Linked DNA regions of Ovis aries. The protein of the gene in region 7 binds, or shares a complex with, the protein of the main gene of each other region. Links are inferred from orthologs where the notes say so. Each region holds a gene or a part of one and is shown on either strand. Other genes may lie near its edges.

Region 1 (3,955 bases), on a different chromosome or scaffold from region 7:
CAGATGTGTTGTTGGTGCCAGCGACTGACGCCCTGAAGAGCCGCAACAGCGTGGAAGTGCGCATGGAGTTTGTCAGGCAGGCCTTGGGGTACCTGGAGCAGAGGTGAGGCGGCGGCAGCACAGAGGCTGCCTTTAAAATCCCCTGAAGGTAGCCGTTCCCCTGTTTGAAGTGGTTCTCTAGATAAGTGCTCTGGAGCTGGTGTGATTTAAACAAGGTTGAGCAAGTCTGAGAGATGTTGCGCTGTTTTTAGGAGCACTTCTCTATGGGAACTGTCTCTGCACAGGTGTAAAATCACGTGAGTGGGAGCCCTGAGCCCTCTTAGGCTTTTCTCTCTGTCTTTCTCCACCCTGCGTCCCTCAGTATAGAGACAGGGTTATTAGGGCACAATGCCTTGGGTCAGGATCCTGGGCCCTCGTGGGGTTCAGCCATTACTCCTCAGGCTCTTGGTTTTCTCTCAACATTTTAATTTTCCCACCCGGCATTTTACCACCTCCAAACCCTAGGAAGGCCCCTTGAGCTTTTGTTTTCCTTCTGGCTCTGCTTGGTTAATCCTGTGAGTTCAGATCCTTCCAGCTGCTAAAGCCTCTGATTTGTGCCTAGGTTTCTGCCACCTCCTCACTAATTGGAGTCGGTCACAGGGGTTTGCGGCTGTACCCTTGTGCCTTGACTGTTGGCCCCGTAGTTGGTAGGGGCTGTGCCATTCATCCACGCCCTGTGGACACTCCTCCCAGCTCTGAATTGACCAGCAGGTGTTGTCATGAGTGTGCAGTAGACCCTCTTTATCTCAGAGACAGGGTGCTGGGCCTCTCTCTGTTGGCTGGAGAAGAGAAAGGCAGGCTGCATACACTTGCTCAATTGCAGCTCTTTGCCTCTGCACCCATGCAGCTGCCAGTGGCCTTGTTGTGTGGTCACCTTCTGTCAACAAAATAATACTCTGTTAGGAAGTCAAGGTAATTCAAGACTTGATACTGCAGAGAGAGAACAGATTTTTATATCAAATACTAAATTATTTAATAGCTACACAAGATGAACACCATCAGATATATTAAACTCACTAGCCTCCATTCTTTTGTTAAGAAAAATCTGAAACTGCAAATGGTGTTTCATTTTTTCTGGCACAGGCGCAAAGAGTTCATAAAGTATTACATCAGGCTTTCACTCAATTTTTATAATGTAAGTTTTGTTAAGTCTTCAGCCATGAAAAACCTAATATATATAGTGGTATTTATTTGCTACAAGTTAGCAAAATATGAATCAAAAAATTTCTCACAGTGTATAAACAATATTAGGGTGGTTTTTTTTAAGGATTAAGTATATGACTGCTTTTTCTTCAGTAAGCCTAATTCTCACTGTTGGTGTTTGACTTCACCAGAGATACCAGGTTGCAGTTTGGGATTTTATATATGTAAGCCATCCCAATTCTTCTATTATTCTTTTCATTTAGTTTTTTTAGGATGATCTTGTTCCATTAATTCCTTTAGCAGCACTTGGAGCTATTCGGGAGTTTCCTGTGCACAACTATTATATGCTTATTTTCTTTTTCTAACAGCATCTCTCTCTTGACATCTTTTTTAAGGATTTGTTGTCCCTTTTGATAAAGGGAATATTTCAGATAACTGTACTCACTTAAAAAAATATTTTTGCTGGTACTAATCCACTGAGAGGATAACATACAGTTTTGTTTTTTTTTTAAGATTTTTTTGATGTGGACCGTTTTAAACATCTTTATTGAATTTGTTATAGCATTGCTTCTGTTTCATGTTTTGGTTTTTTGGCCTCGAAGCATGTGGGGTCTTAGCTGCCCAACCAGGGATTGGTCCTGCACCTCTGTCGTTGGAAGGCAGAGTCTTCACCACTGGACCACCAGGGAAGTCCCAGTGTTTCAAGTGATGTAATACACCAGATGGCAAAGCAGGCCTGGCCCCAAATTATTTTTTGAGTATTTCAAATTTGAAGCAAGGTAGCATTTCTTAGCTCTCAAGGAAGTTAGGCCCTTTCCAGCATGTCGGTTGTCTTCATTCAAGCTGGAAGAGACCATAATGGGCATTGTTTGTCCCAGTTGCCACAGGGCTCTTATCTAATCTCTTTTCCAACCTCTGCTTTTAAATACTCCCAGTGATAGAGAACTCATATTTGTTAAATCAAATTATGTTTATTTTTCATCATAAAAATACTACATGATTATTATAGAAATTTTGAAAGATGCCAAAAAGAGGACCTGAAAAAAGGAGCAGCCCCCCCTCTCACATGCAGGGGCTCCTGGTACCTTGTTGTATTTCCTTACCGCCACCTCCACACCCAACCCCACCACCTTTCTGGGACATATGAATATTTTGTTTGATATTTATCTTTTACATAGCTTATGATCCCAGTGTGTACAATATATGGTTTTATATAGTTTGCTTGTAAAATTTTTTGTCAGTATCATTTTTTAAAACTACATCAATTTCTGATGAGTCTGTTTTCTGTAATTGACATTTAGATGTTTTTCTCTGAGAGGTGTGTGTGTGTGTCTCTCTCTCAGTCTGCTATTATACTTAATCTGATGTTGAACATTTTAGTGCATATGATGCACCTGAAAGTTTTTCATTTACAGATTAGGTGGCACCTGATTTCTGTATTTTTATAACATTTTCAAATAGTTCAGATAAAATGTATGTGTGAGAGAGGGAAGAGCATGCATGTAAATATTAACTGACGAATGTAAGTAAAGGGCAACTGAGCACTCGTCGAACTATTCTTTAATTTTTTGTAGCTTTAAAATTTTTCAAAGTAAAAAGTTTGAGAAGATCCACTAGAGCATTAGGCTGTGAGCGGAGCACTTATTTTTCTGCACAGCAGCCCCTTCTGCATTTGAAATTCACAATTATGTGGCTCCAGGAATTCTTTTGAGTATCCACAGTGATAAGAAGTCTTCACAGAGATCCACCACCCACCAAATCAATAATGTAGCTTGCTTCATTAAGCATGCACTTCTGTTTCGTCTTCTGTGTTCAGTTGAAGTCCAGGCCCTGCCATGTGGAGTTCACAGTCTAATGTTGTGGGTCTGGACACAGATACGTGTAAGATGTGTTTTCAAACTCGCCTCCCTTTTTTGTGCCTTCAAATTTTTTCCAGTTATAAGAATTACACCCTTGTGACTGTCTTTGGAAACTTGCATCAGGCCCAGCTGGGCGGAGTGCCAGGGACTTACCAACTGGTTCGAAGTTTCCTCAACATTAAACTTCCAGCTCCTTTGCCTGGACTTCAGGTACTGGCACCTTTATGCGATCAGTTACTCCTCCAGGTCAGTCTCTGAGATAGGCATTTTCAGCTGAAATGAGGTAATGTGTGGAAACTGCTGTATGAAGAAGAGACCAGAGGGGGCGGGAAGAGAACCTAGGAGACCTGGAAAGGCTGGTGGCTCAGGAGTCCAGGGGATGGCGGTGGAGGAGGAGGGTGCAGGGGGTTGATGTCATTGGTTTCTGGACGTGTTTTGAAAGTGGACCCAATGGGACGGTGGAAGAATTCGGCTATGGGTGTGAGCCACAGAGTCAGGGATGACTTCTGAGATTGTTGACTCAAATAGCTAGCACAACAGAGTTAGATATGGTTCCTAGAAAGTGCCTTTCTTCTCAGCTCACAGTTCAGATACCTGCTGTGTGCAGAGTGCTGAACCAGATCTGTGTACCGAGGGTGGTGGAATACACAGGAGGCTGGCTTTCTGCGGGAAGTGAGGCCCATACTAGTGCTTGAAGAGTAGGGGCTCGCCAGCCAATGGTCTCGGATAGGGTTTTTGATGGGGAGGGGGCAGCGAGAACAAACTTGTCAAGGCAGGATAGAGCACTTGGCCTATTGGGTGTGTGTCAGGGCGGGGCCAGCTTGGGGAGCGCCAGGCTAAGCACTTAAAGCGCAAACAGCTTATAGGGGTTTAAGTGGGGAAGTGACACGATCAGGTCTGAGTTTTAGAAGGAG
Region 2 (3,955 bases), on a different chromosome or scaffold from region 7:
CTGGAGTCCCATGCTGTCTCAAAACAATGATGAGAGTATGATCTTGGGGGTCTTCAATGGCAATCCAGTGGTTAAGACTCCGAGCTTCCAACACGGGGACGCATGTTCAATCCCTGGTCGGGGAGCAAAGATCCCACGTGCTGTATGACTCGGCCAGAAAAAAAAAAAAAAAAAAGAGTTTATGACCTTGAACAGACACTCAGATCCTGGGTGGTGATAGGTGACCACAGAGTTGAAACTAGTTCTCCAAGCTAGTGTTCTGTGCTACCTGGGTATGTGGTATCTAAACTTGAAAAGTAACATTTTAGATGTTTTCAGAACTTTTTTTTTTTCCTGCCTTTCTTGGGGATTGTAAAGTACATGTAATAGAAACTACTATCTTAACTGTTTTACATGTTTAGTAGTGCTAAGCACCTTCACCTGACCGTGTAGCCAGTCTCCAGAATTCTTTTCACCTTGCCAGACGGAAACTATACTCCTTAAACATCAGCTTCTCATTCCCTCCTTCCCCATCTCCTGGCAACCACCATTCCACTCTCTGTCAACAGATTTGGCTACCAGAATCCTCTAGCATTTGACTTTTCATGACTGGCCTATTTCACTTAGCATAACATCTTCAGATTCATCCATCTTGTAGCATCCATCAGAATTTACGATACTCTATTGTATGGATGTATTGATAACAATTTTGATGGAACCTTGGGTGTTTCCATCTTTTGTTTGTTATGAATAACACTCCAATGAACAGGGATATACAAATAATTCTTTAAGACTCTGCTTTCAGTTGGTTTTTTTAGGGGGAGGGGGTGGTTTATACACCCAAAAGTAGAATTGGTGAATTATAAACTAATTCTGATTTTTTGAAGAACTGTTTTCCTTAGTGGCTATACCAATTTATATTCCCTCCAGCACAACACAAGGGTTCCAATTTGTCCACATTCTTGGCAACATGTGATTTTTTGTTGTTTTAAGTTAAACTTGATTTTTTTTCTTAAATTTTAACATTTGGTAAATGTGACAGATTTTCTCTGTGTCTCTAAAGAGACACATGTTTGAAATCCTCGTATCTGTTATTGCCTCATAGCTGGCACAGTGATGTTTGAGTATGGAATGCGTCTTGGCAGAGAGGTTCGAACTATCCGGGGACTTGAGAAGCAAGGCAACTGTTATCTGGCTGCCATTAATTGCTTACGACTTATTCGCCCAGAATACGCGTGGATTGTTCAGCCAGCATCTGGTGCAGTGGTATGAAAATTTTGTATGCCGGAAGTTGGGGATAATTTAACTTATTTTGTTTGGTCTTTTGAAAATACCTCATTTTGCTTCATTTCATTTAAAACTTCCTCTGGGATATTTGTGAACTTAATCTATTTTTTGCAGTGATTCATTTGTCTTATGTTACTACCCCCTTTGGTTTCCAAGTTCAGAATTACTGTAGGAATAAGTATGGTTGTTTAGTTGCTAAGTGATGTCAGACTCTTTGCGATCCCATGGACTGCAGAATGCTTGGCTCCTCTGTCCTTTACTATCTCCCGGAGCTTGCTCAAACTCATGTCCATTGAGTCGGTGATGTCATCCTACCATCTCATCCTCTGTCGTCCCCTTCTCCTCTCACCTTCAATCTTTCCCAGCATCAGGGTCTTTTCAGTGAGTCAGCTCTTTGCATCAGGTAGCCAAAGTATTGGAGCTTCAACTTCACCATCAGTCCTTCCAATGAATATTCAGGGTTGGTTTCCTTTAGGATTGACTGGTTTGATCTCCTTGTAGTCCAAGGGACTCTCAAGAGTCTTCACCAACACCACAGTTCAAAATCATCAGATAATCTGAAACAATATTACAGAGTGGTTTTGGAATTAGACAGCCTGACTTCAGGCAAATTACTGTATCTTGTATTGTCCAGTTAGCCTCTTGCATAAAACAGGAATGATGATGATAATGATATCTACCTTACAGGATTATTTGGGTATTAAATGAGATAACCCATGTAAGATTGCGTAGAATAGTGACAGTGCCTGGCCTGCAGAAAGTGCTCAGTAAATGCTAGCTGTTTTTATTTCATTCATTTTTGTTAATTTAATGTATTGTTACTGTTTTAAAGGAGGTGAACCTTGAGTTTTAATAAGTATGTCATTTAATAAGTGAGGGTCATTTGTTTTATCATGCTGTTGGGGTACTCCCAGTTACTTGTATAGTTTCTGCATAGTTCTGTTTTCCAGGGTTATGAGTGAAGAATGTAATTTTGTAAACCGAAGAAGGTCAGATGGTTTATATGGACATCAAATCAGTGTCTTTGGACTCAGTACAATTTTAGCTAAGTGAGCCGTGTTTCTTTGTCTAGAGGTTCCAGTAACTTTGTGAGAAGAGCTGTGCTAGTTGAAATAGACATAATTTACGCTGGGAAAATTTAAGCATGAAAGCCCTGGATCACAGTTAATGATGTTAAAATAAAATACTGATTTTTCACAGTTAAATCTCTTGCTTTGTCTTTTCAGTATGACCGCCCTGGAGCATCCCCTAAAAGGAATCATGATGGAGAATGCACAGCTGCCCCAAGTGAGTCGGGGATCTCAGGCTGACTTTCACTGAATGGCACTTAATTGTTACACTAGTTGTATTTATATTTACTTGTTTTTTATATGGTACTTATTATAGTATGAACAATCATAGTATAGTATACTGTATATGTATGGTAGTTACTTTGTTAACATATGGTAAAATATCTTATCAGTATTCTGTCTGGCTGCCCTTCGAAAACTTTGTATGCCTGTGTGTGAAATGAAAATCCTTAAAAAGGGGTGTGTGTGTGTTTGTTGCTTGTCGTGTTCAAGTCAGCTTAGTATACTTTTTTAAATTAGGTTCCTTTAGTGTCTCTATAGAGGCATGATTTCCCTTCTCTTTTTTTCCTTTTCTCCGTGATGGTGCCTCGAGGCAAGTAGTCTCTGAGTTTTCCAACCAGGGGTTGAACCCCCATCCCCCGCAGTGGGAGCAGAGTCTTGGACCACGATTCCCTTCCTTAAAGAGCCCGGGCTCTAGAGTTGGACACACTCGGCTTTAATCCTGCCTCTCACTTTGGGCATGTTCCTTACTGATAAAGATGACAGTATTTCACAGTTGTAAGAGTTAATTCCTTGCAAGCGCCTCCCTGAAGCTGTTATTAGAATGCTTTGACTTGACTCGGCTCTAGAGTGAAGCAGGGTTGTTTGTTTTATTGAGCCCCTTGTTTTCACCATATCTTCCTAAAATTAAACGGACAGTGACTTAGTGTTTAGTGGAAGCTGACGGGTTGCGTTTGTCTAACAGGCACTTCCTTTGTGCTCTGGGAATTGACAGTGTTTTCCTTTGGCTTATAGCGAATAGACAGATTGAAATCCTGGAACTGGAAGATCTGGAGAAGGAGTGCTCCTTGGCCCGCATTCGCCTCACCCTGGCTCAGCACGACCCCTCGGCGGCTGCTGTCGCAGGTGGGCATTCGGCACCAACAGTGCGTTTCAGGCCCGGGCAGCAGACATAGTGTGCCATGTGGGTGTGGAGTGTGTCGTCGTTATTCTGGGCATTCACCAAGGGCACGGTCTTTGGGTTCAGTTCACTGGCATGTCCAGTGGTTGCAATAAATAGCTCGTTTCCACTTCCACAGGAAGTTCATCCGCAGAGGAGATGGTCACTCTCCTGGTTCAGGCTGGCCTTTTTGACACTGCTGTATCACTGTGTCAGACTTTCAAGCTTCCCTTAACGCCAGTCTTTGAAGGACTTGCTTTCAAGTATGTATAAAATTGCTTTTCTATAGTCTTAACTTCCTAACATAGTCTGATTTCCTAGTCTTAAATTTCTAAAATATTCTTAATTTTCTATTTACTTCACTGTTGCTTAGTATGAAGCAGTGATCACACAAGCCAACTTATAAGCCAACTCTAAAGAAGTTTTTGTGTCGTCTGGATTTTTTTTTTTGGTAGTTGAC
Region 3 (4,419 bases), on a different chromosome or scaffold from region 7:
GGTGGCCAGCAGACACCAATAAACTAGGAGGTAGACTCGGGTCTCTGTCTGGAAGAGGAACTGAAAAAGCCACAGCAGGGGGTTCCTGCGGATGAGGCGGTGCAGCCAGGGCAGGACGACGCCAAGGCCCAGGACGCAGGTCATGAGGTGGAAGAAGATGGAAGAGGCCCAGGTGCCCGAGTCCATGAATACAAAGAGGGTGCTGAAGAAGATGCCCATGAGCACCATGCCTACCACTACCACGAGCAGGAAGAAGTCCAAGGGGTCCCCCTGGCTTTCCACCACAGTGAGAGAGCGCTTGATGAGCTGGTTGAGCATGAAGCTGATGCCACCCAGGACCAGCAGCGCCTCTCCAGGGGTGAAGCAGCGAGGCAGCAGGTACAACAGGATCATGTTGAGGTACACAAAGATCAGCAGGGCCTCCAGGACCTCGATCACCTCGCCAACACTCAGCGAGTGCTTCATGATGTAAATGATGACGCCTCCAGCCAAGCCAGAGATGACGCAGGTGTTGGTGGGCACCGGGCGAGTGATGCCCAAGGCCAATACTGAGGAGAAGAGGGCCACTGCCATGCCCGTGGCTGCCACCACAATTCCGAACCGCTCGAAATATGGGTTCCCCGCAGCCTGGCAGCGCTCCTTCATAACCAGTCCTAGCAAAGGCATGACCACCGAAGCGGGCAGTAGGCCGCTGTTCGCGGACATTCGGAACTGAAAGACCGCGCTTCCCTGCTGTAGGAGCCGGTCCCATTTGTACTGAACGTAGAAGGCCTGCACCGCGAGGGCCACGGCGCACCACGAGTATCGATCCCACACGGCTGCGTGGATGCTCAGCACCACTACGAACACCACCGCCGCCTCTGCCAGCACGGAGCCACTCAGCGGAGCCCCGGACCCAGGGGTCGGGGGAGCGCACTCTCGGGTCATGTCTCTAGACTCCGGACCCACGGAAAACCGGGGTGACTAGGGATGCCTTGGACTCTGGCCCTTTAACCCCCGCCCGGCAGACAGCGGTAGCTTCGCCTTGCCAGCACCTTCTTTCTCCGTTCTTCAGCTTCCTCCAGAAAGGAAGCTCCACTGTAGGCCACTCTATGCTGCCTGGGAGTCGGCGTCAGGCTTTCCTCCACCAGTTCCCACTCACGGCGTAGACGTCTCCCCTCTGCCACCTCCCTCACAGCCTCGGCCGCGCTTGCCTGGGGTTCCTCACCTCTCCCGGCAACGCCATGTTGGCCCCGCCCCCGCACCCACGTGACGAAAACCCGGTCCACGCCCTGGAAGCGCGCGGTCACGTGGGCGTGGCGTCTGGGGGCGGGGCTGGGGGCGCGCGCGCGCGCGAAGATGGCGGCTGCCGCCGGCGGTCCGTGTGTGAGGTGCGGAGCGGGCCGAGTCGGCGGGGATGACTGAGGCGCGGGGTCCAAACCAAGCGCAAGCCGGGGCGGGAGTTGAGGGCGAGATGTGGCGGCAGTGGCAGGATGAAGGCCGGCTAGGTGTACGGGCGCCGGGACGGGAGGCGGTTACGGCCAAACGGTCCCCGCGCGCGGGGATATGAGGCGACTTCTGTGAAAGGGGGGCCGGCGCCTCCCCCCTTCCCGAGGCGCCGGCCTCCCGTCTCCTCACCCGGCCCTTCTCCTTCCCTCCCCTCTCCCGGCGGCGCGTCCCTCGGCGCCCCCTCCCCCCCTCACCGCGCTTCCTGTCCGGTGTGACGCTCCCTCGAGGCGCGACGGGGAGCTTCGCGGTTGCCCGGGGGAGCCCCCACCCGGTCCCCGCCGCAGCCTCCCGTGCCCGGCGGGCTCTCCCCCGGTTCCGCCATGTGCTCTTGCCGGGAGGTCTGTTTCGCGAGTGGCGGAACCACCTCCTTGCGGTTTCTGCCCTTTTCCGCCGCTCTTTCATTCATCCATCTAGTTGTTTTCTCTTGCACTGATTCCTTCAGTCGGCATCCCGGGCGCTGTTACTGGGCTTTAAAAGGGCAGGAAGAGAAAATATTAAAAAGACAGTTCTTACTAGCGTACTAGCGCCAAACCCTGGCGACGCGCTTTCTGGTTCTCCGCGTTATCTCCTTGAACTCCCACAACTCTGGGGAGGCACCTTGTAATTTACAGATGACTCACAAACCCAGCTCCCAGCTGGAGTGTCCCACTCGGAAGCTTTAGCCGGATCGCCGCACTTGCATCTCTCACTTGTAGCTTCAAAGTGTTCTCCATTCTCCCTTCCACCCGTCCCGCCCAACCGCGCCTGCCACTTTTTTTTCCCCCTTGTTCCAGCAACGTCTCCCCACTTTTTTGTCCTCTTCACTTAACTGCTGTAGCCTCAACACCCAGAAGAGCAGTAATAGACTCTCAGTAAATGTTTATTCCACTTGTCGCTTCTTTCACCTCTCTGTTGAGTGAGATTTTCATCTGTGGAATGTCCATTGAACTGCTTCTGAACTTTGTGAGAACCGGTTTGCTTCTTCCTCCATCCGTTGTGTCATGTCAGCTCTTATGTCGGGCAGCATCGTGGTCACCGTGCTTTCTTTTTCTCAGGCTTATCTTACAGTCCTTGTGGATCTTGGGTAAAGTTTAGCTCCTGCAGGGCAAGGCGGCTTCTTTAATGAAAGGGATTTTTACTTCCGTGGTATTTCCAATCTCTTAGTTGCTTTCATCCAAAGGTTTCCAACCACGTGGATATCTCTGATTATTTCCTATTTCCACCTACTCCAGCTTTTAGAGAAGTGGAGTTCCATGTTGTCTGCTAGAACATTGGGCTGCAAGTCAATAAATTTTTTGAATCTCACTTTTGAGGCAAATTATTTAATTTCTGTGCCTTAGTTTGTACTTATCTCAAATTTATTTACTTGTTGTGCAAATAAATGACAGATACTGTAGCACTTATTTCATTTCTTGAAAGTATATGTAGATAATGTTACCCTGAGGCTTGAATTGGACATCACAATTCCAATCTTGTCTGTTGAGTCTTGAGAATCACCTGCTCAAACCTCCAGGTCTGTTTGAGGTGAAGTCTTCCTTCAATCCCTGGGTTAGTTCCTAGTGATCACTGTCTTCTCTGACTCTTTTCTGTCATTTGTGGTTATATTCCTTGTAGTGTCTAATTGTTAGGGTCCTGCCCTTTGGTACTTTCTACTTTTTAGCTGAATGTGTTATGTTTAACATCCTTTATCATTCCCAACACTAAGTTTATGAGTGTCGTGAAGGTCTTAGATTTATTTGGTTTCCGTTATTCCTAGATCATAAATGTGTAGGAATTGAGGAGCCAGTAACACTCATTTCTAGGATGATTTCCTTTCTGATAAGCTACAGTTTTCTCTTTTGTTCTGCCATGTCTTGGCACTTCTGCATGTAATTTTTTTTTCTAGTTTTTCTGTTCCAGTTAGTTTGCAGGTCTGAAAGGGACTTGGAGTTTTGTTTTTTTAAAATTGATTTGTTAGTTTTTGCTCTGCTGGTCTTCATTGCTTTTGTGTGGGCTTTTTTTTTTTTTTTTCAGTTGTGGTGAGCAGGGGCTACTCTTTGTTGTGGTGCGCAGGCTTCTCATTGAGGTGGCCTGCTGTGTGCCAGCCCCGGTATTAGAGTATGATATACCACTGTAGGACAGAAAACTTCACCTCAGTCTTTATCTGCTTGCAGAGTGAATTCCTGGGTACAACTTGACGCCCTGTCTTACAATGATTAAACTTTGGAGTCTTGCAAGCCTAGGTTCAAGCCCTGGTTCCATTAAATATTAGCTTTGTGGCCTTACAGAAGTTACTTAACCACTCTGAAACCTTAGTTTCCTGATGAGATGATACGGATAGTATTTGCCTCATAGGTCAGTTGAAATATTCAGTAAGACAAAGCATTAAAGACTTAGCACGGTCCCCCACATAACTGCTCAGTAAATGTTGGCTCATCTTGTTAGCCAGCTTGTTTTCAATAAACATTATTTTTGACACCTTATAACAAAAAGACCATGCTATGACTTGGTTTTGCAAATGAGAATATTTCTAAAGAAATAGCTATTTTCTTCTTTTAATTAGTAAGTATAAAAGTTACTGCATTACTTCAGTCTTGTTTTGTAGCAGAATCTTTTTCTCCCCTCTCCACCCCCCAAAAAAGCCGATTCGTCAGACATAAAAGGCAAAAAAAAAAATCTATACTGACCAGGTCTTTGACCTGCTCCTCTGAGACAAACTGATGCCCTCCAGCAGTGGTGATTTAGGAATTGATTTTAAAATGTAGATTTCCCAAGCCTAACCTCTGAGAAAGTGTGGTTCTGGGAATGACCAGGGTTCTGCAATGTTACTGTATTGTTTTCAGTTGATTTGGCTGTTTGGCCTGAGGACCAACTTCATTCTGAGAAACACTCTTTTGGGAAATTGTTTGTTTGAACTGTATGGATTTTGGTGTAACAAATAACCCACAGCTTGATTTGAGTAAACAAAGAATT
Region 4 (3,955 bases), on a different chromosome or scaffold from region 7:
GGCTTGTCAAAATGGCCTTTATTTTGTCAAGGTATGTTCCATCTATGCCCACTTTCTGGAGAGTTTTTAACATAAATGGATGTTGAATTTTGTCAAAAATATTTTCTATTAAGATGATCATATTGTTTTATTCTTCAGTCTTTTGATGTGTATCACATTGATTTGTGGATATTGAACAATTATTGCATCTCTGGGTATCATGGTATATACTTTTAATGTATTGTTGGATTCAGTTTGCTAATACTTCGTTGAGGATTTTTGCATTGATGTTCATCATTGATACTGGCTTGTAATTCTCTTTTCCTGTGATATCTTTGTCTGATTTTGGTGTCAAGGTGATGCTAAGTCACCATTCTAATGACCATTCTAATGGAGATTCCCTCTAGCTTCCTCTTAAAGGAATCTGTTTCCTGAGTGTCACATCTTTTTCCTCCTTATGCCCTTGTTTTGGGAGAATACATCTTCCCATGATATCTTAAGGACACAGGGAAGAAAAGTTTGAGACCTTATATTTCTGGAAAGATCTTTATTCTGCCCCCATGTTGGGTAAGATTTTGTTTCAATATATATTTAGAATTGAAATTACTCTTTTTTTTTTTTTTTTTTTTTAATGATTTTGAGGGCATTTTCCCATTGTGGATGTTCTAGCTCCCAGAGTTAGTTGCTCTTGCAGTCTCTTTACTTTTGCTTTTGGTCTGTTTTTCCTTCTGGAGCATCATTAGAGTACTTTTTTGCCTCCAGTGCTTTGCTTATGAGGATGTTCCTGGTCTGGATCCATTTTATCCTTGGATGATGTTAGGAAGGCCGTGTGTCCTATTTATTATAAGCTGCTTTCATGGGAATTTTCTTGAATTATTTCTTTGGAGATTTTGCACCTCATTCTTTTTTATCTTCCATTTTTTTCCATTGTCTCCTACTTTTTGTTGTATTTCCTGGGAAGATTTCCTCAATTTTATCTTGAAACACACCTGCTGAGATTTTACTTCTGCATGTATTGCTTATTTTCTTAGTGGAAATTGTTCCATCGATGTTCTTTTTTATATCCTTCTGCTTTTGTTTTAGATGTGTTATCTATTGATCTCTTGAGGATATTAACAGTGAGTTTTTGTTTTGTTTTTCCGTTTGATAGCTTTTGCTTTGTTTTCTCCAAATTGCTTTTTTTATTATTGCTTCAGTCTTAGTGTTTCTTACGAAATACTTTCCTCAGATGTCTGGTGCTTCTTGCCTCTTACTCATAGTGTTTGGGTTTTGTTTATTTTAAATTGTAGTAATAATGTTTAACATGAGTTGTGTCTACTCATCAGCAGAGGCACAGGTATTGGTAACTGTAGGCACAGTGTTGTATGACAGAGTTCTAGAATCTGAGCATCTTGCATGACTGACAGTTTACACCTGCTCTGAACAGCGCCTCTTCATATCTCCCCACCCCCACCTCTCCCTGCAGCCCCTGTTCTTTCAGCTTGTGTGAATTTGGTTAGTTCAGATTCCTCATAGAAGTGAACTCATGCATTATTTCACTTAACGTCCTCCAGATGCGTCCATGTTTTTTTCAAATTGCAAGATTAATATTCCATTTTATGTGGACACGTCATTTCCTTTATCTGTGCGTCTGTCTGGGGATGTCTGGGTTGTTTCTACTTAGGTTATTGTGAATAATGCTGCAGTGAATAAGAGTCCAGATACCTTTTTGAGATCCTGGTTTCAAGTCTTTTGGGTAAATACCTAGAATGGGATTGCTAGATCATATGGTAGTTTTCTCTTTAACTTTTTGAGAAGCTTCCATACTGTTTTCCTTAGTGGCTGTGGCAATTTACTTTTCCACCAGCGGTTCACAAGGGTTCACTTTTCTCCACATCCTTGCCAGCACTTGCTATTTCTTATCGATAGCTGTTCTGAGAGATGATATCTCCTAGTGGATTTGATCTGCATTCCCCCTGATGATTGCTGAGGTCGAGCATCCTTATTATATATGCCCATGTGTTGTCTGTGGAGAAATCTCTGTTCAGGTTGTTTGCCCATTGGGCAAAGGGTTTAATTTTAATATCATTGTAGGTTTCTCTAACTGGCTTGTCCTCTTGCCAAGAGCTGAATGTTAGTATCTTTAGGTTTCCCCTTTTGGGCTGTCACATTCCGCAGAGAAGGTTCTTGAAGCCTCCTGTCTTAAGGGCATAAATCCTCGTGATTGCCAGTGTTTTGGGAGCTGAGTCAGGGCGGAAGGCTGCAGTTCTCAGCATTCGTTATACTCAGCCTGCTCCTAGTCCTTCTATTTTCAGTAGGTATCCTTGCCTCTGTGTGTGATGGGCCCCAGTCCAGAGGCCTCTCCAGAGACTAGAAGTCTGTACTTCTGCTAGGTAGAGGAGGAGAGTTCTCATCCTGTTTGTTGGGGAGGGATTGATATGGGTATCTGCTTCTTAAACAGTTACTGGAAAAAAAGAAAAGAAAAAAAACAAAAAAACAAGGCAGGATGGTAGAGTAACTGTTTAAGAAGCAGACTTCGTTCTCACTTCCAGAAGTACCTGGAACCTAAACCTTGTGGAGATGGTTAGTGTAAATGGAATGCCTTCTGTGCTTTCTCTTGCTACCAGTTTAGTATTTGGCTCCCATCGTGCTTCCAGCTTCTAAATTTTGTTCTGTTGTCTCTTTCTCTCCCTACCTTTGTAAATTCCCCTTACTGTGATTTTAACATAAGTTTTGGAAAAGGTAGCGCTCAATATGTTGGTTGCACAATCTCAGTCAGAAGTCACTCAGCCCTTTTTCCCCTTGGTCACGGGTGAGTTGGGTCGCTTGTTGGAGGGTGTCAGATATATATTTTGTCTGTAGAGAAATTACTTATTTTTTTTTAAGTGACCATAGGAGAACTTAACCCTTCACATGTTTTTGTATGTAAAAGTCAGAGTCATTACTAGAAAACCATCATTTTTACCTTAATGAGGTTTTTCTGCTTCAACGATTTCAGGTTCCATTTTCCAGTTTGGCAGCAGCACTGCGACAAATTTCAACTTCACCAACAACAATCCGTCAGGAGTGTTCACATTTGGTGCGAGTCCCAGCACACCTGCAGCCTCAGCCCAGCCCTCTGGCTCAGGCGGCTTTCAGTTTAGCCAGGCTTCAGCAGCGTTTACTGTGGGGTAAGAGAACTTTCTGTTGAGATATGTGCGTGTGTGTGTGTTTAGAATCATCAAGGTGCAGTATGCTGCTGCTAAGTCGCTTCAGTTGTGTCCGACTCTGTGCGACCCCACAGGCGGCAGCCCACCAGGCTCCCCCGTCCCTGGGATTCTCCAGGCAAGAACACTGGAGTGGGTTGCCATTTTCTTCTCCAATGCAGGAAAGTGAAAAGTGAAAGTGAAGTCGCTCAGTCGTGTCCGACTCTTAGCGACCCCATAGACTAGAGCCCACCAGGCTCCTGCGTCCATGGGATTTTCCAGGCAGGAGCACTGGAGTGGGGTGCCATTGCCTTCTCCAGGTGCAGTATAGTTGAGGTAAAATCAAGTATGTTCTCCACCAATTTACCGTATTACTATCAAGCAAAAGAGCATGGGGGGGGGTGTGGGGGTGGGGGTGTGGGTGTAGGTGTAGGTGTAGGTATGCAGTGTAACAGTGTGCTTCCTGTAACACTGTCTCCCCACCCCCCGTGTGTGTGTGTGTGTGTGTGTGTGTGTGTGTGTGTAGGTGTAGGTATGCGGTGTAACAGTGTGCTTCCTGTAACACTGTCTCCCCACCCCCCATCACCAGTCACACAGTGTTATGATTGTGAGATTTTATGTGAGCATCATGTCACGTTACAGAGTTTTTATTTTTCGCAGGTCAAATGGGAAAAACATGTTCTCTTCTTCTGGAACTTCGGTTTCTGGTCGAAAGATAAAGACTGCTGTTAGACGCAAGAAATAAAGGTCATGGTGTGTTACACACACTGTTAACAGCTGGTGCACTGCTTTCAGATACTGGATTGTACTAT
Region 5 (3,955 bases), on a different chromosome or scaffold from region 7:
AGGTCAGCCCTCCAAATGCTAGATTTCTGAAACACCTACACTTGATCAGTGTGATTAGCCTTGTAAGGAAATAAACCAGGAAATGATCTGTTTATTTGTTTACAAAACTGTGAGGTCACAGACTTAAGTAGGGCAGCCTGAGTGTTGTGTCAGGGGCAGGGGTAGAATGTGTTTAAAATTCAGTAAACAGAATTTAATACATGATATTGTACAGCGTGGAGAAAGTCTTTGTCCCTAACCTGAGGAACCTCAGAGCATAGATGTGGTAAGACAGAGGTGAAAATTGATCTTCCCAACACTGGCAGGGGCAGATTCTGTGCCCTGGAGCCCTTGTCCCTGGGGCAGCCTGGCCCCTTTCTAAGAGGTTTCAGAGTGCACTCCCTTGTTGCTAAATTCATGTTCCTCCCCAAGTGAGAGAATGGCTTGACTTGACAGCATGAACGTTCTGCTCGGCTTGACAGTTGGAATACTCTTGTCTAATTAATACGTTGACTTTTTAAAAAGTGCGTGAGGCTAACAAGAAAAGCCAGGCTTTCTTCTCCTTTAAACAACCCCATGGATTTTCTGTTTATACTTAATGTCCTTTTTTAAGTTTCCTTTCTTCGGAGTTCTGATTCTTAAATCTATATGGTTTGCTGGCACGTCTCTCTTTTAGACCCTTCTCCAAATATTATCTGGAACCCCACTGAAATGCCTTTTAAAAATATATGTTGAGCTAATGACCTTGTCACCAGAAAGAAAGGGACCATTGTCCTTTTCTCCTTTTAATTCTTTTGGGTAGGGGACCCCCTGCTGCCAAGTCATGTGCTGTCCTCTGTTTCTTGACGGCACTCTGAAGACATGCTTATTTTTTAAATTGACTAGTTTGTTTTTTGGCTATGCTAGGTCTTCATTGCTGCACACAGGCTGTCTCTAGTTGTGGACAGTGGGAGCTACTTTCTAGTTGTGCTCGGGCTTCTCACTGAGGTGGCTCCTCTTGTTACGGAGCACAGGTTTCGTTGCTCCATGGCACATGGAATCTTCTCGGACCAGGAATCGAACCCTTGTCTCCTGCATTGGCTGGTGGATTTTAAATGACTGGACCACCAAAAAAGTCCCTCTTAGTAACGTCTTGCTGTTTCTTTCCCACTAGTGGTTCTTCATTTTATTATTTTCACTGTTACAGTCCTTTTTCTTTCTTTCCAGTAGAAATTTCTTTTATTTGAACCGTTCTTATACAGTTCTTTCCTCCTTGGTCTAAACAGGCGCCTGCTTGTGCCAGAACGAGAGACACTATTTAATACTCTTGCCAACAACCGGGAAATCATCAACCAACAGAGGAAGAGGCTGAATCACCTGGTGGATAGTCTCCAGCAGCTCCGACTTTACAACCAGACCTCCCATTGGAGCCTTCCCTTGGATGTTCCCTCCCAGAGCACCACACACAGGTGTGCAGGAGAACACGTCTGTTAATGCCACGTGCACTTAGTAAATGAGGCGGGATGAGCGAATAAATACACAGAGCAAAGTGGACTAGTCACAGAGTAGTTGAGATGTGGGTTTGAAAGTGACTCTGCTGTTCTTTCATCTTTGTGATCGTGGTCAGATTCCTCACCCTCTCTGATCCTTTTTCCTTCTGCCAAAAAGTGGGGCTAACAATAGCCTTCTCAAGTAGCTCAATGGTAAAGAATCCCCCTGCCAATGCAGGAGACGCAGGTTTGATCCCTGAGTCAAGAAGAGCCCCTGAAAAAGGAAATGGCAACCGACTCCAGTATTCTTGCCTGGACAATCCCATGGGCAGAGGAGCCTGCCAGACTACAGTCTGTGGGATTGCGAAAGAGCTGGGCATGACTGAGCATGCGTGCACGCAGGGAACTAACAATGTGCACCTCATGGGGTTACTGGAGGGTTTAAGTCTTTAAAGTACCTAGCAGTGTGCCTGATGGAACAGGCCCTCGATAGATAATAGCTGGTACTGTAGTCATAGCATTATTGTTCAATTGAAAATTAGCTGTCAGGATTAGGTTGATCAACTTGTCTGGAAACTCAGAGTTGTCATTTTGCAAGTGTGGAGATTTCAGACCCTGCCTTAGACAGTTTACCCCTAAAGTTACCAAAGTGGTAACTGCCTTTAGCCTGAATGTATAGATTTTAATTGCCCTTCCTTCTGGAGCCCTGTTGGGGTTGTGTTTGCTCTGGGGTGGGATGTGATAGTGAGACTGATCATTTTCCTTTGGGGTTAATTCATTGTTTGGTCAGATTTTCCATTTCCTTTTCAGGATGCTCTTATCTCTTGCCTTTGTATTTGGGAGGATAATGTACCATCACCATTACCATGAGTCCCAATTTCTCAGGTCATAGTTGGTTCATACGTAACATTGTCCTCTTTCAGTTTTGACAGTGACCTCGAAAGCCTGCGCAATGCTTTGTTGAAAACGACTCTAGAGTCTCACCCCAAACCGTTGCCTAAAGTACCAGGTAAATGCATTCTCCCCAGTCTTTAAACTCTGTTCTCTTTCATCTATTGACCTTAAAAACCAAGTTTTAAGCATTTATGGGTTCACGAATTTCTTGCAGCTAAACTGTCCCCCGTGAAACAGGCACAACTGAGAAATTTCTTGGCCAAAAGGAAGACCCCCCCAGTGAGATCCACTGCTCCAGGTAGAGGAACCCGGTCCTGAATTTTTAGGATAAACTGTATAGTACATTGTGTGGGAGTAGGATGGGGTTTGTGTGTGTGTGTGTCTGTGTGTGTTTTCCTTTGGTTCTTAATGGGAGATAGAGGAAGTGTCTCTAGAATCTGTCATCCGTCTGAATATGGGATTAAGAAGAAGCTTATGCATAGTCAACTCGAGGTGGTAGTTTCGGCTTTCACACTGTGTTTTCCATAGTCCTCAGGTTCTATGGCAGTGATTGCCAAGGATTTGGGGGGACGCTGAACTGGTTCCAGGGGTCCTAGCCTTCGCTTTAGCTGGGAAAGCTTTACTTTTCTGATTTGTGTCGGATTTTGAGTAAGGCTGCATTTGAAAAAAGACCTGCTCAGCAGGCACGCGTGACTAGTGGCTACTCTGATGAGAGATGCAGACATAGAACGTGCAGGCGCAGGTAGTTATGAATGGACTCTGAGGGACTGTGCTGCACACTGACTTGCCTCGGAACACTTTGGTACAGTGCTGCCCGGTAGAACTTCCTGCCGTGGTTGTGGTGTTGGATCTGTACTGTCCAATACAGCAGTTAACTGGTGGCCATTGGGTGCTTTAAGGGGGATGGTACAACTTAGAGGTCAAATTTTTCATTTGTTTTTCATCTGAATAACCATACATGGCTGGTGGCTACCAAACTGACATTGCCACCTAGCAGTAGCCCTAGTACAGCGTTTTTTAATTTAAAAAATTCTTTTGGCTGTGGCTGCCAGGGAAGTCCCCATGCGTGGTTTTCACTTGCAATTGTTTATATTATGTTTGAAAAAAGTGAAAGCGTTAGTTGCTCAGTTGTGTTTGACTCTTTGCACCCCCATGAACCATACAGCGGACCAGGTTCCTCTGATCATGGAAGTCTCCAGGCAAGAGTACTGGAGTGGGTAGCCATTTCCTTCTCTAGGGGATCTTCCCGACCCAGGGATCGAACCTGGGTCTCCTGCGTTGCAGGCAGATTCCTTACTGAGTGAGTCACCAGGGAAGCCCATGTTACACTCGCATTATGATACATAAAATCTTGCAGAGTGATGCGCCCACAGGACACATAAGTCAGTAAGTATTAGCAATACTTTTAAATAACTTGAGGAGGCGAGGGGGCTGTTTTTTGCTTGGTTTTGGTGTTTCCAATACACAGACAGTAACATGACTTCTGAAATTCATGGTAGAAAGTAACATGGCATAAAGCCTTACCTTACAGTTTATGGAAGGAGCAAAACAGGGAAAGTGAGAATCGATTTTAGTGATTTTTTTTTTTTTAAACTAATTGTCTCATTCAAAAG
Region 6 (4,626 bases), on a different chromosome or scaffold from region 7:
CTCTCTTCTTTCACTTTCATCCGAGGCTTTTTAGTTCCTCTTCACTTCCTGCCATAAGGGTTGTGTCATCATTGTATCTGAGGTTATTGATATGTCTTCTGGCAATCTTGATTCCAGCTTGTATTTCATCCAGACCAGTGTTTCTCATGATGTACTCTGCATATAAGTTAAATAAGTCAGGTGACAATATACAGCCTTGACGTACTCCTTTCCTGATTTGGTACCAGTCTGTTGCTTCTTGACCTGCATACAGATTTCTCAGGAGGCAGGTTAGGTGGTCTGGTATTTCCATCTCTTTCAGAATTTTCTACAGTTTGTTGTGATCTGAAAGTCAAAGGCTTTGGCATAGTCAATAAAGTGGAAGTGGATGTTTTTACCATCTTTACTTACCCAAATTTAGCTCATCCTTCTAGGCTTAACATATATGCCATCTCCTTCAAGAAGTCTTTCTTATACCTTCTGTGTTCTCTCTCTTCTCTAAACGTGTACATGTATCTCTTTATATTTATGCCACAGTTTTATATATCAATATCTTCCCTCTTCTGTTACTGGACACCTACTCTCTGGCTATTTCATTCCTTTTTGAGATTTGCAGTTTAGCTCAGTACTTTGCGATTTTTCACAGCAAGATTCCATTTAATGCAACAAATATCTACGGAGCAGAGGCATCAGACATTTACAACGAATCATACATTGTTTTAGGCACTAGGAATAGTGTTAAATGAAGGATATAAGCCTTTTAAGATTAGTAGGAGAGATGAACAGTAAAGATATTAAATGTCCAAGTGAGCTTTAAGAGACTTCGTTTGGTGGTGAAGATAACATCATGAGTATAAGCAGCTTACAGCACTCGAAAATAAAGGACAAAAACGAACAAACCAGTTCAAAGGAGGAATAGGGGAGCAAATGGCCCTTAGGTACAGCTTCAACCTTAAATAGCCTAATAATCCAACTCAGTGATTATCAAAATATAATCCGCAGTATCTGCTTCAGAATCATTTGAAGTTTGTATAAAAAAATGCAGATTCACACCTACTAGAAATTAGAATGAGTGATATTTAAATCTGCGTTTTAAACACACTCCCCATGTACTCAAACCATCCAAAAATGTACAATACAGTAGAGTCAAGTTTCGCAGACACAGTTCGAAAGCCGCTCCCTCCTTCTAGCCGGAGGAGAGCCTGCGGCGTATCTCATCCCTTCCCTTTCCACCGGGTCTCCGGACACTGGGCCACATGCCACAGCCTTTCTGGTCAGAAGCATAGCTCGCCACCTCCCACCTGAGTCCTAGCTTCTCTAGGATTGGGGTGGGGCGTGGGGGTGGGGCGGAAAGCAACAGGCCAATCTACAGGGGGAGAGGCGTAGCAGGGGATGCCGGCAGGGAGATCTATTTGATTGACGTGAAATAAGACCAATGAGAGCAGAGGACAAGTGACGCTTTCGCCTCAATGGGCAGGACGTTAGCGATTTCAACCAATCCAGCTCAGGAGTGTCTTGCTTTGTGGGAGGTTTTTGAGACCGCTGAGGGTCGTTGGCGTCTGTCGAACGGCTTGTGGAAGTCTTGCTGCTCTGGGTAGGGGGTTAAAATCGTTCTCGAGAGGAACGCCTCAGTCCGAAGAGAAAATGAGTTTAGCTCTGAGGTCGGTAATGAGGAGACGGCAGATGCACTCCACACCTCGCAGCGGGCCCCAGGGCGGTTGTGTGTGGAAGGGAAACAGCTGGGGGCCGAAGCGAGGAAGGGAATGCAGTTTGGGACGAGGGACGGGATCCTTGGTCAACGTTCCCGGGCCCAGACCCCTCCCCTTGGGGGCCCTGGTGAGCTCTGCACTTTAGCTGAGGCGGTCATTTCTGTCAGGGCACTGGCTTTAGACCGCCAAAAAGCCGGGCTGAGGTAGTCTTGAGGAGGCAGGGAAATATCGCGAGGTTTCAATGCGCGGTGTTTATGCGAGAAACCGGGAAACCAGGCCTTGGAGCATCCCTTGGTTCAGTGCCTTGTCCACGGCTTCCATCTCGGCCGACTTTCTGCTAACATGCGTGCTCAGTCGTTTCAGTCGTGTCAGACTCTTTGTGACCCTATGGGCTGTAGCCCGCCAGGCTCCTCTGGGTGTGGGTTTCTCCAGGCAAGAGTACTGGAGAGGATTGCCCTGCCTTCCTCCAGGTGATCTTGCAAACCTGCGTCTCCTGCATTGCAGGTATATTCTTTACCCACTGAGCCACCTGGGAAGCCCCCTACTAACATATTTACCCGTAAATTTTGGAAACAACGCAAAACCTCTCCTCTTTCTCCTGGGGCCCTGCAAAAGGGTATAATCAGAGGCCCCTTTTAGTGATTTTAGTTGGTAATCTCTTAGCTTTCCTAAATTTTCTGATTTTACTTTTCATTCATTTCCAACCTCTAACCCACTGTTTGTTGCTCCCTCTCCCAACCACAACTAAAAGTTTTACCTTAAAAGTGTTTATGTAGTTACGCTTCAGTAAAAAGGAAGCGAGTTCTGACGAGGAAATGAGGTCTACTGTCGGTGGGTTGTGAACTTTGGTCTGGTCGGAATCTTGGGAAGAGAATAACCCCCGGAGTTTCCAAGTTTTTGTGAATTCAGGTCTCTTGTGAAAGAAAGAGCTTTATCATAACCTCATTTGGTCATTTTCTAGTCATCTCTTGCCTTTTTAGAGTAGATTTCACAGAATTAAAGAAAAGTCAACTGGTTTTTACATTTTTAAAGTTTATAGAATTCTTGTTTCAAAGCTTGTACAAGTGTTGTAAGCCCCATATGAAAATTTGAAATGCTTATATTGGCACCTCTTAAGGAATACATTTCTAGTTTTTAGAGTAAATTACGTTTTGTACTTTAAGTTTTTTCAGAGTTTGTGACAAACTGTCTAGATGTACATGCTGAGATTTATGAGACAGTTGACTCTTCACCTTATATATAAATAAAATACCACAAATATTAAGTACTTTTTTGGTGTTTGATATTCGTGGTATGCTTACGTTCATTATTTTGGCTGATTTGTTAATATCAATGGGAGAAATTACAAAAAAGTGCCAGTTTAAAATGTGTAGTCTAAAAATACTAGTCTAAACTGTGCCAAAATAGTTTGTAAATTAATTGATGAATTAGATTTTTTGGCAATAATTTTGATAATTCTAAGCACTATGAAAGTAAACCTAATATATAGAGATCAACAATTGTGAATTGAATTCTTATTTTTTAAAACAGTCTGTATTGTAGAATGATGAGAATAAGTATGGGTGTTTGTTTTTTGTTGGGGTTTCTGACAGAACTGTTTCTTTTTCACAGTTCTTGTTTCTTCCACAGTAATATTAGTGGGAATGAATACAAAGCTAGGAAGAGGAAAAGCTAGGTCCTCATTTCTTTTAATAACCTTTTAAAACTGTAAAACTTTTCAGTTTTAGGGAGGTACAAATTTAAAGCAGCTTAGACAATGGATTGAGCAGGGCTTTGATTCATGTAAGGAAATTTTTTATAAAATACTTTTTAGAAGTTTAAAACATTCATTGGCTAATTTTTTTGTTGCATTTTTGGAATTTTATCATTTAGAAGCATATGACAATAGGATTAAAGTGGACTAAATAGACTTTTTTCTTATCATTCCATAGAAATGACCTTGTAGTAGACAAAACAAAGAGGAAAAAAAGAAGAGAACTCTCTGAAGAACAGAAACAAGAAATTAAAGATGCTTTTGAACTATTTGACACAGACAAAGATGAAGCAATAGATTATCATGAATTAAAGGTAATACACTTAAAATATATCTTTTCTATTAAAACATTTTGCATTTTTGTCCACTGATTAAAAATGCATTTCTAAATATTTTAATTGAACTGGTTTTGGAAATGTAAACCATTTTAAACATTTACTGTTAAGCTAAGCTGAGTCACTTCAGTCGTGTCCGACTCTGTGTGACCCCATAGACAGCAGCCCACCAGGCTGCCCCATCCCTGGGATTCTCCAGGCAAGAACACTGGAGTGGGTTGTCATTTCCTTCTCTAATGCATGAAAGTGAAAAGTGAAAGTGAAGTTGCTCAGTTGTGTCCGACTCTTAGCGACCCCATGAACTGTAGCTCACCAGGCTCCTCCATCCATGGGATTTTCCAGGCAAGAGTACTGGAGTGGGGTGCCATTGCCTTCTCCAAAAGTTGAGTAGTACTTGTATCTTTTTAGAAACTCCTTTTCACATGGTAAAATGAATAATATTTTAAATGTAAAAATATATTCCTATAGAGGGGCTTATTTTTCATTCACATAATTAAAATATTTGAAACTGAAGGATTTAAACAGTCTAACCATATTCCTCTTCCTATTGTATGTTTTTTTTTTGTTTTTTTATGACTCATTCATTTCTCAGATTGAGGCAGTGTTATTTGTTTTCTAATTTAAACATGTTAGTAACAGTCTCAACCTATTTTCTCTTATTCAGATGATATAAGTGGTGTCTGATGTTGATGCAGTGCTAATGGGGAAAAATATCAGTTTTAAGTTTTAGAATTTTTTATAAATAATCAAGGGGAAATTGGTGTTTAAGATAGTTTGGATCTTAAACTCAGCACAATGAGTGAGGTAGCATCCTTGTGGCTCTTTAGCTTACTTTCCCTCTGGTTTAGTT
Region 7 (3,955 bases):
TAATATTCATCAAGATTGGGTGTAAAGAGCTACCTACATTTTCCTAACGCACATTAAAGTAAAACCACAACCATTAAAACAGAAACTATTATTCTGTGTCCCACCCCCTAAAATTCTCTGACTGTCTTGTGGGGACCCCTACCATAGGAACAGTCTATAAATGTTGAGTTAATGAATGACCATCATGTGTTTCAAGCTCTGCTTTGTTTCTTAGCTCTAGGGGAAAAAAATCTTTGGGACGTTTTCAGTCAAAACTTGTTCCTTCCTTAGGTCTCCATTCTGTCGGCAATGGAACTCATTTGGAACCTTTGTGAGATTCTTTTTATCGAAGTAGCCCCAGGTGAGCACAGAATGATCTTGTCACAGCGGCAGAGGTGTCCCCCTACCCTGTCCTGTGCTGTGCTGAGTGTTTTGTTGCCTAGAATGCTCTTTTCGTTGCTTTTCATCAATATAAGCATTGGGAGGTGTTACAGGATGCCTGAAGAAGCCTGTGTTTTTGTCAAGATACTGCAAAGAGTCAGAGTATCTTCTGAAAACCTTAGTTGTAGGCAGGTGACCCCTAAAAAATATGAAGAAACAGATATTAAACTAGTGTGCGAAAGGGGTGGTCCATATTTATACCATGGACTGGTGAAGCTTTAGAAAGTTTTAGAAGCTCGGGAGAGGTGTGTGCAGGTTCTTCAGCCTCCGAGGGAACCAGCCCTCCCAGCTCCAGAGACTTTTAGCCTCCTGAAACACAAGACAGTACATTTCTGTTGTTTAAAATTTTAAGAATGAAAAATGTTGTACGGATGTGAGGCAAGATTAGGTGGTGGAAGGCAGAATCCCTTAGAGAATTCCTTTGCTGGTGATTGGGTCAGGGGCAACCCTACAGCTTCATGCGTCCACTCTGAATTATTCCCTTGATCTTGAATTTGATTGTGGTCAGTACAGTATCCTGTGGGCAGTACAGTGGGCTCTCTGTGGAGGGGCTGTAGGCCTTTTTGCTTTCTTCTAATGGTTTGTATTTACTGTTGTCCATAAGTGTGTATTAGTAGTCTCTCTGTGGTCACAGCTTTTTATTCATAACTCCTGCTCAAGCACTGAGCAGCCTGAAATTGAATTGGTTGGTTGTCTGCTTGCCTCTTCCAGTAGATTCTGAGGACTGTTGCTGTCTTTCTATCACGTTTGTGTACCTGGCACCTAGTCAGTGCCATCCCCATATGGCCACTGCTGATGTCACCGAGTATTGCGTAGTTGTGAAGAAGCTGGGGGTGGTCGGGCTGGTGAGATCTGGGTCTCATGTTCAGCGCCCCCAACGATTCAGTGAAAGGTTGAGCTGCGTGGCACAGAGGAGGTGCCCACAGAAGTCCATTCGCTAGCTCAGCCCTGTTGTCAGGAGCACACGCCCGCTCACTGAAGAGGGACAGACCACTTCCACCATAGTTCGCTCGCCTGCCCTACATTCTCTGTACTTTGAGAAAGTGGAATCTACTGCTTATGTGTTTCCTCCCAGCTGGCCCTCTCCTCCTGTACCTCCTTGACTGGGTCCGACTGCATGTGTGCGAGGTGGACAATTTGTCAGCAGATGTTCTGGGCAGTGAGAATCCAAGCAAACACGAGAGCTTCTGGAACTTGGTAAGACCCTTGTGCGTGCTGGGCCTCCCTGCCTTCCTCCTCGTATTCTCTTTGGCCTGGGCCCCTGGGCTGGCCTGCGGGTTTCCCTGCTGAACCCGTGTGCGTGTTGTTCTTTGAGTCTGTGATCATGGAGATGTGCTTAGGGAGGCGTGCTTAGGGAGGTGTTTTCTTCCCTGCTCCATGGGAGAGTTTTGAACTAAGTTATCATGTAAGAAAAATAATGCTTTGTAGACTTCACAGTGAGAAGGGAATTTTGATCTGTTTGTGGATCTAAGAATGAGACTTGGTGAAGACAGTGCAAAGCCGATGGATAGGTGCTGGGGTAGGGGTTTGATGTCAGTGAGCTGAGGGCGGTTTTGAGGTGTTAGATGTGTTCTGAAGCTGAGTTGTGATGATAGTGCCCAACTCCATAAACTTACTCAAATTCACCGAATTAGACACTTAAACAGGTAAATGTTTATAAGGTGTACATTGCAATCAGTAAAGCTATTAAAAACAAAGACATTGATGATCCCAGTCATTTTGGATGGTCAGTTTGAAAGTTTGTGTGTGTGTGTGTATTCTATGTCTGGGAGAGCAGTACTTTTCCATTCACCTATACTGACCTATGACCCAGTATGGAGCGACCAGGGCGGAGGTTGCTGGTTGACTTGAATGTTGGAGACTTATATCATCTGAAATTCAGGTAAAGAGCTGCTGCCTTTAATGCTGTTTCTGAGGCCTTCGGGTGCTCCGAGATCTGTGCAGGTAAAGGGGAGAGCCTTTGTTCAGAAATGGTTGGGCCTAGGGTTTAAGTGTGTGATTCATTCACTGTGTATTTGAGTGGTGCTGTGTGCAGGCCCTGAGGAAACAACCAGGACCAAAGCAGGCAGTGGTTCCTACCCTTACGGAACTTGCATTCTGGGTGGGGAGACCGGAAATAAATATAGAAGCAAGTAAAATATGTGTAAAAGCGAAGCGCTCTGGAGAGAAAGAGCAAGAGAGGGGAATTGGGAGTATTAAAGTCGAGGAAGGGCACCCTTGTGAGGTGACGTGTGAGTAGGAACCTGAGGAGGTGACGAGGAGTGAGGGCTCAGCTCCTAGAGAGGCAGTGTGGTGGTGATGCTTAGTCACTTGGTCCTGTCTGACTCTTGGGACCCTGTGGGCTATAGCCCACCAGGTTCCTTTGTCCATGGGATTTTCCAGGCGAGGATTCTGGAATGGGTTGCTGTTTCCTTCTCCAGGGGATCCTCCCTACCCCGGGATCAAACCTGCATCTTCTCATTGGCAGGAGGATTCTTTACCACTGAGCCACCAGGAAAGCCCCAGAGAGGCAGGGTAGTTGAATGCTAAGAACAGGGTCTGTGGTGCCAAGCTGGCCAGGTTAGCATCCCAGCTCTGCCTCTTACCATCTGTGAGCTCTAGTGAGTCACTTGACTGCCTTTAGTTTCTTCGTGTGTGGCCTGGAGAGTGTGACACCTGTCCCACAGAGCTGTTCTGATTCGGTTAGCTGAAGGAGATAAAGGTATGACCTGGCTGATGGACACAGTAGAGCTCCCGTTCTACTCCTGAGTCAGCTGGGGTACAGAGGACATTAGAGAGTCAAACACAGGAACACTGTGATCTGACTTAGAGTTCCTTTTCTTTTAAAAAATACTTATTTGGCTGTGCTGGGTCTTAGTTGTGGCATGCAGGCTCTTTAGTTGCAGCATGTGATCTCTTAATTGCGGCGTGTGGGATCTAGTTCCCTGACCAGGGATGGAACCCAGGCTTCCTGCATTGGGAGCACTGAGTCTTAGCCACTGGACCAGCAGGGAAGTCCCTGATTTAGGTTTTCAAAGGCTTTTCTGGCTGCACTGCTGAGAATAGAGCAAAAGCAGAACGGAGAGACCAGCCTGGAGGCTCAGGTCCTAAATCAGGCAGCTGTGGTGGTAACTTGGACCCGGGTAGGAGCTGAGTGGAGGAGGTGGTAAGAAGTGATTTGATTCTGGATGCAGTTTAAAGGTACAGTGATAGGATTCGCTAATGAATTGGATGTGTAAGAAAGAGAAGAATGTGGGTTGGTGGGTTGGAAGCGACCCGGTGTTCATTTCGAGGCATGTTAAGGTGCCTGTGAACCAAGTGGAGCCATTGGCAACAGGATGTGCGTGTTTGGAATCAGGGAAAGGGACTGGGACTGGGCAGCATGTGTTTCCTTGGCTTGCTTCTTCTTCCTTTTCTTTTGCCGTGGCTAGCAGGATCTTAGTTCCCCAACCAGGAATTGAACCCAGGCCATAAAATAGCATGCAAAAACCTGAACCAAATTTGGCTAACCCAGTATTTGAACTAGAACTTTTTCTTTTAACTGAAACTTTTACAG

Evidence for each region.
Region 1: NUP85 (region 7) and NUP93 share a complex: the UniProt entries of both Homo sapiens proteins name them as parts of the nuclear pore complex. The link is inferred for Ovis aries from reciprocal best matches to the Homo sapiens genes NUP85 and NUP93.
Region 2: NUP85 (region 7) and NUP160 share a complex: the UniProt entries of both Homo sapiens proteins name them as parts of the nuclear pore complex. The link is inferred for Ovis aries from reciprocal best matches to the Homo sapiens genes NUP85 and NUP160.
Region 3: NUP85 (region 7) and NUP188 share a complex: the UniProt entries of both Homo sapiens proteins name them as parts of the nuclear pore complex. The link is inferred for Ovis aries from reciprocal best matches to the Homo sapiens genes NUP85 and NUP188.
Region 4: NUP85 (region 7) and NUP153 share a complex: the UniProt entries of both Homo sapiens proteins name them as parts of the nuclear pore complex. The link is inferred for Ovis aries from reciprocal best matches to the Homo sapiens genes NUP85 and NUP153.
Region 5: NUP85 (region 7) and NUP214 share a complex: the UniProt entries of both Homo sapiens proteins name them as parts of the nuclear pore complex. The link is inferred for Ovis aries from reciprocal best matches to the Homo sapiens genes NUP85 and NUP214.
Region 6: NUP85 (region 7) and CETN3 share a complex: the UniProt entries of both Homo sapiens proteins name them as parts of the nuclear pore complex. The link is inferred for Ovis aries from reciprocal best matches to the Homo sapiens genes NUP85 and CETN3.

What each region holds. Positions count from the first base shown.
Region 1 is NC_056067.1:24,469,312-24,473,266, forward strand, and holds part of NUP93 (nuclear pore complex protein Nup93), read left to right. Parts: coding exon 1-103; intron 104-3,118; coding exon 3,119-3,251; intron 3,252-3,955. UniProt on the Homo sapiens protein: Plays a role in the nuclear pore complex (NPC) assembly and/or maintenance. May anchor nucleoporins, but not NUP153 and TPR, to the NPC. During renal development, regulates podocyte migration and proliferation through SMAD4 signaling.
Region 2 is NC_056068.1:76,456,061-76,460,015, reverse strand, and holds part of NUP160 (nuclear pore complex protein Nup160), read left to right. Parts: intron 1-1,084; coding exon 1,085-1,245; intron 1,246-2,492; coding exon 2,493-2,553; intron 2,554-3,350; coding exon 3,351-3,461; intron 3,462-3,634; coding exon 3,635-3,758; intron 3,759-3,955. UniProt on the Homo sapiens protein: Functions as a component of the nuclear pore complex (NPC). Involved in poly(A)+ RNA transport.
Region 3 is NC_056056.1:7,472,496-7,476,914, reverse strand, and holds the start of NUP188 (nucleoporin NUP188), read left to right. Parts: upstream 1-1,326; 5' UTR 1,327-1,338; coding exon 1,339-1,370; intron 1,371-4,419. Other genes in the region: DOLK (dolichol kinase), read right to left, coding at 1-927. UniProt on the Homo sapiens protein: Component of the nuclear pore complex (NPC), a complex required for the trafficking across the nuclear envelope. Required for proper protein transport into the nucleus.
Region 4 is NC_056073.1:39,077,329-39,081,283, forward strand, and holds part of NUP153 (nuclear pore complex protein Nup153), read left to right. Parts: intron 1-2,956; coding exon 2,957-3,128; intron 3,129-3,803; coding exon 3,804-3,888; 3' UTR 3,889-3,955. UniProt on the Homo sapiens protein: Component of the nuclear pore complex (NPC), a complex required for the trafficking across the nuclear envelope. Functions as a scaffolding element in the nuclear phase of the NPC essential for normal nucleocytoplasmic transport of proteins and mRNAs.
Region 5 is NC_056056.1:5,557,937-5,561,891, reverse strand, and holds part of NUP214 (nuclear pore complex protein Nup214), read left to right. Parts: intron 1-1,244; coding exon 1,245-1,427; intron 1,428-2,371; coding exon 2,372-2,457; intron 2,458-2,556; coding exon 2,557-2,640; intron 2,641-3,955. UniProt on the Homo sapiens protein: Part of the nuclear pore complex. Has a critical role in nucleocytoplasmic transport.
Region 6 is NC_056058.1:87,599,502-87,604,127, reverse strand, and holds the start of CETN3 (centrin-3), read left to right. Parts: upstream 1-1,496; 5' UTR 1,497-1,623; coding exon 1,624-1,640; intron 1,641-3,619; coding exon 3,620-3,755; intron 3,756-4,626. UniProt on the Homo sapiens protein: Plays a fundamental role in microtubule-organizing center structure and function. As a component of the TREX-2 complex, involved in the export of mRNAs to the cytoplasm through the nuclear pores.
Region 7 is NC_056064.1:55,594,723-55,598,677, reverse strand, and holds part of NUP85 (nuclear pore complex protein Nup85), read left to right. Parts: intron 1-270; coding exon 271-340; intron 341-1,495; coding exon 1,496-1,617; intron 1,618-3,955. UniProt on the Homo sapiens protein: Essential component of the nuclear pore complex (NPC) that seems to be required for NPC assembly and maintenance. As part of the NPC Nup107-160 subcomplex plays a role in RNA export and in tethering NUP96/Nup98 and NUP153 to the nucleus.